Anolis sagrei: one gene and its partner. The protein of the gene in region 2 interacts with the protein of the main gene of each other region in a pairwise test. Links are inferred from orthologs where the notes say so. Each region holds a gene or a part of one and is shown on either strand. Other genes may lie near its edges.

Region 1 (7,168 bases), on a different chromosome or scaffold from region 2:
ATGATTTCATTGTGCTTTTCCTGATTGGCAGAATAAAGGGGGTTGGACTGGATGGCCTCAGGTTCCAATTACTATTCTTATTATTACTACTACAAAGGGTGGTTGCCATCTGTTGGGAGGGGGGGTGCTCCTATTACTATTCTTATTATTACTGCAAAGGCTGGATGGCCTCTGGGGTTGCTCCTATTATTATTACAAAGGCTGGGTGGCCATTTGTTGGGTGTACTTTGATTGTGCTTTTCCTGCATGGCAGAATAAAGGGAGTTGGACTGGATGGCCTCTGGGGTTGTTCCTATTACAAGTGTAAGCTGTCCTGAGTACCCCTCTGGGAGTTGAGTAAGATGGGGTAGAAAATGCTGGAAATAAACAAATATTATTATTACTACTGCAAAGGCTGGATGGCCCCTTGGATTGCTCCTACTACTATTATAATGCAAAGGCTGGATGGTCCCTGGGGTTGCTCCTATTACTATTATTATTGCAAAAGCTAGGTGGCCATTTGTTGGGGGTGCTTTGATTGGATGGCAGAATAAAGGGGGTTGGACTGAATGGTCCCTGGGATTGCTCCTGTTATTATTATTACAAAAACTCGGTGGCCATCTGTTGGGGGTGCTTTGATTGTGCTTTTCCTGCATGGCAGTCCCCCTTGTTTGACTGAATGATTGCCAAACTGGAAGCCACTCCGAGTCCCCTTCGGGGTGGAGATAGAACGGGGTAAAATATATATAAATAAAATTATAATGTTCGTTTGTGGGATTAACAGAACTCAAAAACCACAGGAGGGAATTGACACCAAATTTGGGCAGCATACACCTAACAATCCAATGTATGTCCTTCACTCAAAAAATTGAGTTTGTCATTTGGGAGTTGTAGTTGCTAGGATTTATAGTAGTACACCTACAATCAAAGAGCATTCTGAATTCTACCAATGATGGAATTGAACCAAACGTGGCACACAGGACTCCCACAACCAAGAGAAAATACTGGAAGGGTTTGGTGGGCATTGACCTTGAGTTTGGGAGTTGTAGTTCACCTATATTCATAGAGCACTGTGGACTCAAACAATGATGGATCTGGACCAAACTTGGCATGAATATTCCATAAGCCCAAATATAAACACAGATGGAGTTTTGGGAAAATAGACCTTGACATTTGGGAGTTGTAGTTGCTGGGATTTATAGTTTACCTACAATCAAAGAGCATTCTGAACCCTACCAACGACAGAATTGGGACAGACTTCCCACACAGAACCCCCATGACCAACAGAAAATACTTAAGGCCATCCAGTCCAACTCCCTTCACCAGGCAAGAAAACATTATCAAAGCCCTCCGGACAAAGAGCCATCAAGCCACAGATAGAGATACATAGTATTATTCACACACACACGGTGAATCATATATATTCACAGGGGTTTAACCCGGTGGCGCAGCGGGTTAAACCCCTGTGACGGCAGGACTGAAGACCGACAGGTCGCAGGTTCAAATCTTAATGAGGTTCAAATCTTAATGAGACATGCCGCATTATCACGGGGTGTCTGCGCCCTACACCACTGGAGAAATTACACTGCTTAGCTGGTATTGCACCACCTGATATCCGCCGGGAAGTAGCAGCCAGCATGTCAACGACTTAAATGTAGACATAATTTTCTAAGATCTACAGAGACACTCGCTGGAACACCTCAGCAAGCGGGAGTCCAAAAGTGGCAGGCTCAAATCCAGAACCTCAACCAATGGCTGATACCAAATGAGAGACTCCTCCCTGGCACACAGAGGACTGGGCGACTTGGAAGGCGCTGAACAGACTGCGCTCTGGCACCACGAGATGCAGAGCCAACCTTCAGAAATAGGGCTACAAAGTGGAATCCTCGACATGCGAATGTGGAGAGGAGCAAACCACAGACCACCTGCTGCAATGCAACCTGAGCCCTGCCACATGCACAATGGAGGACCTTCTTGCAGCAACACCAGAAGCACTCCAAGTGGCCAGATACTGGTCAAAGGACATTTAATCAACTACCAAACTCAAAAATTTTGTATTATGTCTGTTTGTTTGCTTTGTTCTGTTAGAAATATGATATAATTGACTGGCTGCCCTAACACGAAATAAATAAAAAATTCCGAGGAGAGGCGGATGAGCTCCCTCTATCAACTCCAGCTCCTCATGCGGGGACATGAGAAAACCTCCCACAAGGAAGATAAAAACATCAATTCATCCGGGCGTCCCCTGGGCAACGTCCTTGCAGACGGCCAATTCTCTCACACCAGAAGCGACTTGTAGTTTCTCAAGTCGCTCCTGACACGACAAACAAACAAACCAGATATAGCATCATAGATTTGAAAGGGACCTCCAAAAGAAGGACAATTATATGTTGCATGTTCCAGAGTAGTCAAACCAGACACTCTCCACATCAACACTGACAAAGAAAGAACAAGAAATACTGTTTACCCACAAGCACAAAGAAATTACATATATTAGAAACCAACACTTTCTGGTTACTTTATTTTCCAGATCACCAGACAGCAAAGCATGTAAAGAAATACTCACGGCCTTCTCGAGGTGTCCGCGGGCCTGCTCTCCGTTGCGGGTGTGGTGGTAAAGGACGGAGCCGAGCTGGAGGTGGGTGCGGGCCTCGACGCGGGCCGGGGGCTTGCGTGGCAGCACGGCTTGGAGGCAGTGGACGCAGAGGCGCACTTTGGGCGGGCTGGAGGTGCGGAAGTGCTCGGCCAGGCCCAGCAGCGCCACGTACCACGACTCCGACGAGGACGGCGAGGCCCCGCCGCCAGAGGAAGAAGCCGAGGACGAAGACCCGCCCGAGCCAGGGTTGTTGCCCCCGGCTGGAGCGGCCTCGGAGCCGGCCTGCTGAGGTGGCGCCGTCGCGCTACTCCCTCCCGGAGGCTGAGGCGCCGAGGCCGACGAAGACGGAGCCACCGCCACTGCGGACGACGTCGACGTTGGCGTCGAGGCCGAAGACACCGCCGTCTCCGCTCCCGAAGCTCCCACCGCCGCCATCTTGGATTTACCTCAGCCGAAGACCCGAATGACGGCCACTGCGCCTGCGAAAAAACCCGTCCTTGCCGAGTTGGCCAATCGGAGGAGAGGACGGCTGCGCTGGGACGCACGCGCAATTCGGGCTCTGCTGCGACGCATGCGTAGTCTGGAGGTCCCTTGTTTATCTCAGCGAACACAAAAGGAGCTTGGCTTGGGGGGAGGAGACAAGAAATGCTGTCTTCTCGCGAGAGTTGGCAGATAATTCTATTAAGAGCTTGGGCTGGTGCGCGTGCGGCATTGTGGGAGAAAAGGAACTTCCTGAGAGACATGGAAGGAGGCAGAGAAGCGCCAGGTGAGTCTTTTTCCCCTACACGCCCCTCCCACCTCCATCCAGGTGGGTCCCAATGGCCCACCTGGCCTCCCTAGAAGCTCCTTTGCCTTTCTCCCGTGAAATCAACAGGCTTCCTCTCTCAGGTAGGGCCTTGTTGTCTAGGCCATTCCCTCATTGTGTTATCGAAGGCTTTCATGGCCAGAATAACTGGATTTCCCCCAAACAGGAAGCAGCGAGGCTTTGAAGCTGCAAGGCTATTCAGTGGAAGGCTATTCATATGCCTGCCACTTGCCACTTGCCTTATTTATATATTTATTTATTTACTTTGCTTATATACCGCTGTTCTCAGCCCAGGGGCGACTCACAGCGGCGTACAACATAGAAAGAACAAGGTTCAGAATACAAGACACAATATAAAATAATCCACAGTCCATCATTAACAAAAAAACATCATCATCAGAAAACATCATCATTACTACAAAAGCCATTCCGCGTCGTCTCATCATCAAAACCACAATCCAGTATAATTATCCGTTGTTCCATTCCTATAGTCAATTACCAATCATTGCACTTCTTGTTCGAACGCCTTCTTAAACAGCCAGGTCTTTAATTTCCTGCGGAATATTATCAGGGAAGGAGCCAGTCTGATGTCCACGGGAAGGGTGTTCCACAGCCGAGGAGCCACTACTGAGAAGGCCCTATCTCTCGTCTCCGCCAGCCGTGCCTGTGAAGCAGGCGGGATTGAGAGCAGAGCCTCCCCGGAAGATCTCAAAGTCCTCGTGGGCTCATAGGTCGAGAGGTGGTCAGTTAGGTATCTTGGGCCGGAACCGTTTAGGGCTTTATAGGCCAATGCCAGCACCTTGAATTGAGCCCGGTAGCAGATCGGCAGCCAGTGGAGCTGGTACAACAGGAGGGTTGTATGCTCCCTGCGTCCCGCTCCTGTTAGTATCATGGCTGCCGCACATTGGACCAGTTGGAGCTTCCGGGCCGTCTTCAAAGGCAACCCCACGTAGAGAGCGTTGCAGTAGTCTAAACGGGATGTAACCAGAGCGTGGACTACCGTGGCCAAGTCAGACTTCCCAAGGTACGGGCGCAGCTGGCGCACGAGCCTAAGCTGTGCAAATGCTCCCCTGGTCACCGCCGAAACCTGGGGCTTCAGGCTCAGCGATGAATCCAGGATCACACCCAAGCTGCGAACCTACGCCTTCAAGGGGAGTGCGACCCCATCCAGTACATTTCCAACAGACCTCTTAAGATGCCAGCCACAGCTGTGTGCGAAATGTCAGGAGAGAATGCTACTAGAACATGGCCAGACAGCCTGAAAAACTCACAGCAACCCAGTGATTCTGGCTATGAAAGCCTTCAGCAACATATGCCCATGTTGATAGGAGGGAAACCTCAATCTCTTTGTGTGGTTTTTGTGAGCCTTGAGCCTCCCATGTTTTTCCTTTCTCCTGTTTGACCAGGCAAAGTCAGCCGGTGGTTTGGCGTCACCATGCCCAAGTCGATGAAGACCAACGTGAACATCCTCCATCAGGAGAAGCTGATTGCCCAGAAGAAGCGGGAGATCGAGGCCAAGATGGAGCGGCAGGCCAAGCAGAGTCACTTGGCCCGGCAGCAGTCCTCACAGGCCAGCGAGTCCGTAGGAGTTGGGGCAAGGGGGGCGCTTGCTTGCTTGTTTACTTTTTGATAGGTTTATCTATGATCTTTCCAACATTGCATGCAAGACTTACAAGCATAGGCCAAAGCAGTGGTCTCCAAACCCAACTTCAAGTTTCCAAAATTGTAGGATCATATAATTCTAGAGTTGGAAAAGACTCCAGGGCTATGCAGCCCAAACCCCTTCTGCTAGGCAGGAAGACACCATCCAAGCCCTCCTGACAGATGACCATGAAACCTCGTAGACACCATTAGGTTCACGGAGGCAATAGAATCCTGAGTTGGAAGAGACCACAAAGGGGCATACAGTCCAACCTCATTCTGCTAGGCAGGAAGACACAATCAGATTTATTTTATTTTTATTTACTTATGTCAGAAGAAAATTGAGAATACAGTTATAATATTTTTTAAAATCCACAAACAAAGTTAGAAAGCTTGGCATTATGCTAAATTTTCTTTGGCCAGAAGCTGGCCCCTTGGGGTGCCTCTGGTGTCGCTGTGAGAAGGTCCTCCATTGTACATGTGGCCGAGGTTAGTCTGTATTGCCACAGGTGGTCTGTGGTTTGCTCTTCTCCACACTCGCATGTCACGGACTCCACTTTGAGTCCCCATTTCTTAGCGTTGGCTCTGCATCTCATGGTGCCAGAGTGCAGCCTGTTCAGTGCCTTCCAAGTCACCCAGTCTTCTATGTGCCTAGGAGGGAGTTTCTCATTGGGTATCAGTAAGTGATTGAAGTTCCATTTTTTTTCCTGCCACTTTTGCACTTTCGCTTGTTGAGGTGTTCCTGCAAGTATCTCCATAGATCTTAGAAAGCTGTTTCTTGATTTAAATCATTGGCATGCTGGCTGCTATCCAAACAGAGAATGGGCCAGAGATGTCAATGTCTTGATCCTTTCATTACTAGCTGCTACTTCCCTGAGGATATCAGGTGGTGCAATACTGGGTAAACATAATTTCCCCAGTGGTGTAAAGCATAGACATTCTGTGATGTCACGTCCACTCTTATAACATGTTGAAATGTATTCCACACTGGGCATGTGTACTCAGCAGCAGAGTAGCAAAGTGCAAGGGCAGATGTCTTCACTGTGTGTGGTTGTGATCCCCAGGTTCTGCCAGTCAGCTTTTGTATGTTATTGTTTCTAGTACTCAGTTTTTGCTTGATAGTCAAGCAGTGCTTCTTGTAGGTCAGAGCATGGTCCAGAGCAACTCCCAGGTATTTGGGTGTGCTTCAATGCTCCAATGGGATTCCTTCCCTGGTCATCCTCAGAGCTCGAGATGCTTATCTGTTCTTAAGATGAAAACTACACGTCTGCATTTTAGATGGATTAGGAATCAGCTGGTTTCCCCTGTGATAGCCAGTAAGAGCACCTAAAGCTTCGGAGAACTTCTGTTCAACTATTTCAAAGCTCACTGCTTGGGCGATGATGGCACAATCATCAGCATAGATTAAACACAATTAGATTAAAATATTATTGTAATGCCCCCAATCTCTTAATCAGTTTTTTTTATTCTGTCCTAATCTTTTAATGGTTTACTTAATCTTCAAAACCTGCAAGCATTTTCTTTTTTCTTTATAAGTGATAAAAACTTTTCATTATTTGAAAAAAAAATTGTTGGCTTCTCGTTTATTGGACAAGGCAATTTGTCAATTTCTGCCAGTTCTAGAACTCTTAAAATCCAATCTAGTCTGGAGAATCTTATTGGTTCTCCATTCTTAACAGTTTATAAGAAATTGCCTCTGAGATGTATTCACTATGTTAATTGTATGGTCCAAAACCATGCAATAGGAAAAGGAAACTCTGGAAAGCAGAGCAGTAATTATAGAACGCCATAAAGTGTAATTAAATGCAGTGTGTAATTAAAAACAAGAAGATAAACAGCAAATGTTGCTTATTTGGAAGCCATTATAGAGATTTGAGTAGGAAGACCAGGGTTCAAACCCCTATTAGGCAAGTCACACTTTTTCAGCTTCATAGAAAGGCCATGACAAACCACTCCTGACAACTTGTAAAGGCACAGAAATGACTTCAAGGCACAAAAAGCCGAAAAAGGAGTGCCCAGCATCTGAATGGCCCACATTTAAGTGGAAACATGACCCAAGAAGGGTTCTGGGCCCATTTGTTGCTTTTATTGGAACCACTAATGCCATCCCTCTTTGGCTTTCCAGCGATGAGAGTGGCGAGGGTGAA
Region 2 (8,066 bases):
ATTTAGGGCACAAGAAGAAAATATCCATCCCTTTTTAGCTAAGGAATATAACCACATATATTTCACCAACAAGTGATTTAACCCTTCAAGGTATCTGAAATTTGAGGTTTGCTTCAGCTACTTGATTATTTCTAAAGAAATAACCTCAGTACTAAACATCATATGTAAATTAAAAAATTAAGACATGTCATTGTGTTTCCAAAATAATGGACCAAATCACAGGTATGTGTTTTAGAAAAGTTTCAGAAGAAAATCTTCATATTAAAAATGATGAATATTTCATACAAAATGTATCAAACAAACAACTTTAAAATGCATGAAGACTGTAAACATTTAAAAAGGGGTAGGCAGGAGAATGCATACCTAAATGAATAAAACTGGAACTAAAGTAAAGAACATGCAGGAGTTATATGACTAGGGCATAAGCTTCAATGCAATTTATGGGAAATCACATATTTAACTGAAGTGACAAAATGAGAAGTTCTAGTGCCACTTTCTTACAATAGTTTTCTGTACTGTCCTTTCTGTAAATTAGACCTATGCTTGACATTCCTAGTACAGCTTTTTTTTTAAAGGCAAAATTCAGTCACCATACATAGAAATAATTAGAAACAACTCATGTTTCACTCTGCAATTTATAAAGTTCAGAAAATAAAAGCTGCTTTTTCAAACTGAAAATGGTTGCTCTCCCGAGCATACAGGCCTGAGGCCCTGTTGCAAACAGTGTCTAACAGGCCCAGGCAGCACAAAGACAGGAATGGCAGATTAGTGGGAGGGAGGGAGGCCGGGTTTGGGGCTCAGCAGGATCTTCTGGCTTTTTAAAATTCAAACCGCTGCCTGGCCAATACAAATCACAGACACAGTACTGACTACTACATGAATTTACATCATTAAAAACATGCTTTCTACGTGACAGCTATATTCACACCACCCATTTAAAAACACAGCACTACTTCCCAAACAACACCAAAAGTTATTTTACTAAACGGAAGCTAGTTTTTTTTTAAGTTAGAACACCAACAACATCAATGTGAAAGTTGAGCACTGGGAAAGATTACTACAATCTAATCACAACCAGAGACCTCTTTTTGACAAAGTTACATAAAAAGTAGTTATAAAACAGAATTAATCAAAATTGCACAAATTAACTTGTTATAGAGACTGTGAATGTCTACTCTGAAGTGAATTCCATAGGGTTCAAATGAAGTTTATCCCTAAGGAACAGATCCAGGACTGTATCCAAATAGTTTCTCACATTTTTTTTAATTTACAACTGTTTACCAGAAAACTATTATATTTCCTTCCAGTTAACATTATAATACTGATGATGAACTTTTAGACATCTGTGTTGTACGTGATTACCCAATAACACTCACACACAATATGGACACAAACAGTATCTATTTGAAATTGGTATAGGAAATTAATTCCGCAAGATTTTAAACTATTTTAACCCACTCCTCAACCATGTTTCTTCATATGGATGGACCACCAATTTTAATAGGACTAAAGGACTATGTTTAGGATTGCTGCCTTATTTAGTACAATTTGCTATGAGATTCCAGAGTAACCTTTGGCCTTTAAAAAAAAAATCAACTAACTTCAAGGATACTATCTCTAGATGGCAATTCATTGTTACAAACATTTTTTTTTTCGTGGGGCAGTAATTATTTACTATGTAACTTTTCGTGCACACAGAAAATAAAACCTTTAAAGGTTGCATACAGCAGGCCATGTATGATGTGTTGTCTAAGGCTTTCATGTATGCCTTCTTCCAGCAACACCAGAAGCACTCCAAGTGGCCAGATACTGGTCAAAGGACATTTAATCAACTACCAAACTCACACATTTTGTATTTTCTGTTTGTTTGCTTTGTTCTGTTAGAAATGTAATATAATTGACTGGCGAGAAATAAAAATAATATGTATGTCTTGTGAGTTGGACAGGTGTTTCGTGTTCTGTCAATCTTTCAGCACGGTCTGGATTTATTTATCAAGGCAATCCGCAGGGATTTACACAACTTGCAATACCAATCTTTTTTTTTTTCTCCTAGCCACCTACAGTCAAAATATCGTGCAAGGAGAATTAAAAGGCACAGTCGCTGCCAACTAGACACACACCCCGAGTGCACGCGTCTCCTTCTCTTTTCTTTGCAAATGTTTTTATCTGGGACTTTTTTTCCCCCTTCCCTTCCCTCCCGCCGCCCGTGAAGTTGTAAATATGGCCCAGCCGCGGTTTGGACTGTATTGTTTCCTCCTCCCACTCTTGGCTCTGGGGCGCTTGAGCGAGGCCTGTCACAGGGAAGAAGCCACTCCGCCGCTCTAAAATAATCCCCGAGCTGGAGTGGAAGCGCTGTCCGCTGGGCCTGCGCCCTCCTCCGGGCTTGGCCTTCTCCAGCAACTCCGAGGCAACCATTCACATCCAGGAGGCGGGGAGAAACGTGAAGCACCCCCCCCCCCATCAACCCTGGCTGCCACTCATTATTATCCCCCCCACACCGGACGAAAAGGCTAATCCCTTGCTCTGCTTCCCGACTGGGCCAGAGCAGAGAGAGAGAGAGACACAGAGAGAGAGGAGGCCCAAGGCGCTGCCTGCCTGGAGAGAAGGAACCAAAACCGAGGGAGAGAGGGAAGGAGGGGGAGCTTTGCCTTTTTACCTGAGCGAAACGCCGCTTGAATCCAACCGAAAACCAAACCAGAAGGGGGGAAGAGGAGGGGGGAAAGGCCACCCCCTCCCTCCTCAAAGGATCCGCCGCTGGGCCGCGGAGCGAGAGGAGGAGGAGGAGGAGGAAGGGAGATAATATAACAACAATAATCCGGGCCGGGAGGGGGGCTGGCTCCTCTTCCGCCTCCTCCTGAGTGCAGCGAACATGTAGAGAGCCGCCGAGGGGAGAGCGGCCGAAGGAAGCCTGCCTGCTTTCCTCTTCCTCCTCTTTCTCTTCTTCTTCTTGCTGCTTCTCTTCTTCTTCCTCCTCCTCCTTGCCGTCGTCCTCCTCCTCCCACCGAGGCTAATTCACCACCAACATATCCACACGACGCCAAGGCCGGGGCCTAGCCGGATCCGATCAACACCTCCTCACGCACCGACCGGGGAAGGGGGAGGAAGGAAGGGAGGAAGGAGAGGAGAGGGAGGGGGATCTCCTCGGCCGCGGCGGCGCTCGCTCCTTCTCTTCCGCCGCCGTCACCGCCGCCTAGGCCCCTGCCTCCGCCTCTCTGGCTCCCCTGCCTTGCTTCCTTGCTCCCCTGCTTCCTGGGCGTGCGTGGACGCGGCTGCTGGGGCGGGGCAGGGAGGGGGCGCCTGGGCCACGGGGAGTCGGTCCCGGGAAGGGAGGAGGAAGGAGAGAGGGCGGAAAAACAGGAGCCTGCGTAAATGCGAGCGTCGCTCTCGCTCCCTCTCAGAACAAAATGCCGACCGGAAGTGCAGCTTGGAGGAATGACTCCCTCCACCGGCGCCAAACACCAACAGCCTCCCCCTTTCGGCTCGGCTGCTGCCTGCCTTCCTTCTTCCCCTTTGCCTCCTTCAGCTTGCTTCGTTCTATCTTCTACGAAGTTGTCTCTCTTTCTCTTTCTTTGGTTGTAGCTCGGCTTGTTGTTCTCTCTCCAAGTGACTCTTATCTTTCATGGCCGGGATCACTGGGTTGTTGTTGTTGTTGTTGTTGTTGTTGTTGTTGTGTGTTTTCCGGGCTTATATGGCCATGTTCCAGAAGGTTGTGGTAAGTTCTTTTTTTAAAAAACTGTATGGCTATGTTCTCGCTTTCTCTCAGAACAGCCCGAAAAACTTACAACCCAGTGAATGTGGAATGTGTCCAGAGGAGGGCGACTAAAATGATCAAGGGTCTGGAGAACAAGCCCTATGAGGAGCGGCTTAAGGAGTTGGGCATGTTTACCCTGAAGAAGAGAAGGCTGAGAGGAGATATGATGTTGTTGTTGTTGTTCATTCGTTCAGTCGTCTTCGACTCTTCGTGACCTCATGGACCAGCCCACGCCAGAGCTCCCTGTCGGCTCTCACCACCCCCAGCTCCTTCAAGGTCAGTCCAGTCACTTCAAGGATGCCATCCATCCATCTTGCCCTTGGTCGGCCCCTCTTCCTTTTGCCTTCCACTTTCCCCAGCATAATTGTCTTCTCTAGGCTTTGCTGTCTCCTCATGATGTGGCCAAAGTACTTCAACTTTGTCTCTAGTATCCTTCCCTCCAGTGAGAAGCCGGGCTTTATTTCCTGGAGGATGGACTGGTTGGATCTTCTCGCAGTCAAAGGCACTATATAAGATATGATAGCCATGTATAAATATGTGAGAGGAAGCCACAGGGAGGAGGGAGCAAGCTTGTTTTCTGCTTCCTTGGAAACTAGGACGCGGAACAATGGTTTCAAACTACAAGAGAGGAGATTCCATCTGAACACGAGGAAGAACTTCCTGACTGTGAGAGCCGTTCAGCAGTGGAACTCTCTGCCCTGGAGTGTGGTGGAGGCTCCTTCTTTGGAAACTTTTAAACAGAGGCTGGATGGCCATCTGCCGGGGGTGCTTTGAATGCAATTTTCCTGATTCTGTCTATAAATATGTGAGAGGAATTCATAGGGATGAGGGAGCAAGCTTGTTTTCTGCTGCCCTGGAGACTAGGACACAGAACAATGGCTTCAAACTACAAGAAAGGAGATTCCATCTGAACATTAGAAAGAACTTCCTGACTGTGAGAGCCGTTCAGCAGTGGAACTCACTGCCCCGGACTGTGGTGGAGGCTCCTTCTTTAGAAGCTTTTAAACAGAGGCTGGGTGGTCATCTGTCAGGGGTGATTTGAATGCAATATTCCTGCTTCTTGGCAGGGGGTTGGACTGGATGGCCCATGAGGTCTCTTCCAACTCTTTGATTCTATGATTCTATGACTCCGGCCATGAAAGCTTTTGGCAATACATGTTCCAGAAGCATTCTCTCCTAACGTTTCTCCTGCATCTATGGCAGGCATCCTCAGAGATTGTAAGGTATTTTCTTTTTTTTCTTTCTTCCTCCCATTTGTTGTTGTTTCATATCTTGCTTTCTGATGTCTGCAGGAAAACCTTATTATCTAGGAATATAAGGCCGGACGTTGTGAGGAAGAAGAGTCCTTCCAAGCTGTTCAATTCGAAGCTGTCATGCTACAAGAAAGGAGATTCCACCTGAACATTAGGAAGAACTTCCTGACTGTGAGAGACGGTCAGCAGTGGAACTCTCTGCCCCAGAATGGAGCGAGAGGCTGAGAGAGGAGGGAACAGAGGCTGGATGGTCATCTGTCGGGGGTGCTTTGAATGCAATTTTCCTGATTCTATGTATAAATATGTGAGAGGAACCCGCAGGAGGAGGGAGCAAGCTTGTTTTCTGCTGCCCTGGAGACTAGGACGCGGAACAATGGCTTCAAACTACAAGAAAGGAGATTCCATCTGAACATGAGGAAGAACTTCCTGACTGTGAGAGCCGTTCAGCAGTGGAACTCTCTGCCTCGGAATGTGGTGGAGGTTCCTTCTTTGGAGGCTTTTAAACAGAGGCTGGATGGCCATCTGCCAGGGGTGCTTTGAATGCAATTTTCCAGCTTCTTGGCAGGGGATTGGACTGGATGGCCCACGAGATCTCTTCCATCTCCTGATTCTATGATTCTATACCCCCCTGTTCTGCATTGGTCAGACTGCACCTGGAATCACACTGTGTCCAGGTCTGGGCACCGCAATTGAAGGGAGATGTTGACAAGTTGGAATGTGTCCAAAGGAGGACTAAAATGATCAAGGGTCTGGAGAAAAAGTCATATGAAGAGCGTCTTAAAGATCTGGCCATGTTTAGCCTGCAGAAGAGAAGGCTGAGAGGAGACATGATGAGGGCCATGTATAACTATGTAAGGGGAAGTCATAGGAAGGAGGAAGCAAGTTTGTTTTCTGCTGCCCTGGAGACTACAGGAAAGGAGATTCCACCTGAACATTAGGAAGAACTTCCTGACTGTCAGAGTTATTCAGCAGTGGAACACTCTGCCCTGGAATGTTCCTTTGGAGGCTTTTAAACAGAGGCTGGATGGCCATCTGTTGGGATGCTTTGAATGTGATTTTCCAGCTTCTTGGCAGGGGGTTGGACCGAATGGCCCATGAGATCTCTTCCAACTCTATGATTCTATAAATTGTCAACAATTGAAAACCACCCCAACATAATTTTGTTGTTGTTTCTTTAAATTGTTCCTGCATGGCAAAGGGATGGACTGGGTGGCCCTCTTCCAAGTCTATTATTAGTTGGCTATCAGTAGTTACTTTACATATATAATTGTAAAAATTCCAAATAAAAGAGGGGAAGGACTCCAAGGGAAGGTGTTCTTTTAAGGAATGTATCTCTCATTCTTTCACTCTTAGAGTAACCACTGGCCAACGGTTCCTGTTTGCATCTGTTTGGGGTTTTTTTTTACTTGTTAGAAACCACTTTTATGGGTGTTATCTTAAAGACGGATATTGCTGGATTTAAAGGTGATGAGAAATGGGTCTTCACTGTTCTCCTTGAATCCATGCTGCTTCTTGTCTTTCTAGGTGGCTCTTGTCTCTTCTCTTTGTTTCTCTGTTTCCTATCTCAATTTCCGATGTCTGCAGGAAAACCTGGAGTTCACAGATAAGGCCTAGGAGCCCCCGGTGGCGCAATGGGTTAAACCCATGTGCCGGCAGGACTGCTGACTGAAAGGTTGGCGGTTCGAATCTGGGAAATGTGGTGAGCTCATGTCTGTCAGCTCCAGCATCTCATGCAGGGACATAAAAGAAGCCTCCCACCAGATGGTAAAACATCTGGGCATCCCCTGGGCAACATCCTTGCAAACAGCCAATTCTCTCACACCAGAAGCGACTTGGAGTTTCTCAAGTCACTCCTGACATGGAAAGAAAATCAGATAAGGCCTGATGTTGTGAAGAGAAATAAACATGATTTGACCAAAAGAAGACCAAAATAATGTTGTTAATGATTTGTTCCTGCATGCCAGGGGCATGGATTAGATGGTCCTTGTGTTGTCTTCCAAGTCTTTGATTCTAAGGAATTGTTTTTAAAACATAATTGTCAAGATTGCAGGTAAAATGAAAAATTCCAAGGAAGATATACAGATCTCCTTAAGAAGAAGAAATGTGTGTCTTATTCTTTCATTCCCAGAAGGACTATTAAACAACTGCTCTTGTTTGCATGGAGGGTTTTTTTTTTTTACATTAATTGCCACTTTCATACTTGTAAGCGTGTTTTTATAAGGCAGGGATATCACCTAATTTAAAGTTGATGAAAAATCTAGGTTTCTGGGCCATACACATTTTTTTCCAAAATGATGTTTTGTGAAAAAGGTAACATGAAAGAGGGAAATCCATAAAGGTTTCTTTGCTGGGAAATTGTAGTTTTTGACAGATTTCTTGCAGATAGCTTAATTATGTGTAGTGGAGCAGGCTTTCGAGAAGGGGACAATGACAACCTGGAAAGCTTTTTCTCTTCAAATTGTGCACAGTGGAGCCGAACAGAAAGTTATAATTCAGGTAAGTTTGCCAAAATGTCTGCTTTGGATTCTATTAATCAAGCATTCCAAAAATATTTTGAATGCACTAATCGTTAAATATAGTCGTTTCAGTTAGTTTTCCACAAAGTTAAGAACTCAACCTAAGAGCAGTAAGAACTACAAGACTGAAGTCAGGCACTATGGCTTTGAATTGAAGAGATGCATTCACAGAGATTGTTCTGTGTAAATTAGCTGTGTACAAGTATAAGTTAATTTAGTCATGTGCCATCAGGTGCATTTGTAGGTATGCCAGACCCTACACATGAGAGATTGCCCAGAGAATTCGCTAGTAACATCATTGCACAGGTCTTTACAGATGATGCATAATATAGCTATATTCCATCTAAAAATAATTTCTGCGGCTTTTTGGAAACTCAGAAGCATAAGTACATGTATTTTGTGTTTTACATGTACTCTACACTTTGATTTAAGATTTCAGTGTATTTAGAGTTAATAATGATGCTTACCTGAGAATATGTCCTACTAGACACAGTAAAATGTGTGCTCAGATTAAAAATTGTTGGATTGGGTGAGACATGCCATAGA

Evidence for each region.
Region 1: the proteins of NIPBL (region 2) and MAU2 interact in binary tests that used the Homo sapiens proteins (3 or more experiments, as listed by UniProt). The link is inferred for Anolis sagrei from reciprocal best matches to the Homo sapiens genes NIPBL and MAU2.

What each region holds. Positions count from the first base shown.
Region 1 is NC_090034.1:50,624,270-50,631,437, reverse strand, and holds the start of MAU2 (MAU2 chromatid cohesion factor homolog), read right to left. Parts: upstream 3,052-7,168; 5' UTR 3,011-3,051; coding exon 2,546-3,010; intron 1-2,545. Other genes in the region: SUGP1 (SURP and G-patch domain-containing protein 1), read left to right, coding at 3,221-3,341, 4,787-4,958, 7,147-7,168. UniProt on the Homo sapiens protein: Plays an important role in the loading of the cohesin complex on to DNA. Forms a heterodimeric complex (also known as cohesin loading complex) with NIPBL/SCC2 which mediates the loading of the cohesin complex onto chromatin.
Region 2 is NC_090022.1:279,217,855-279,225,920, forward strand, and holds the start of NIPBL (nipped-B-like protein), read right to left. Parts: upstream 3,132-8,066; 5' UTR 2,657-3,131; intron 1-2,656. UniProt on the Homo sapiens protein: Plays an important role in the loading of the cohesin complex on to DNA. Forms a heterodimeric complex (also known as cohesin loading complex) with MAU2/SCC4 which mediates the loading of the cohesin complex onto chromatin.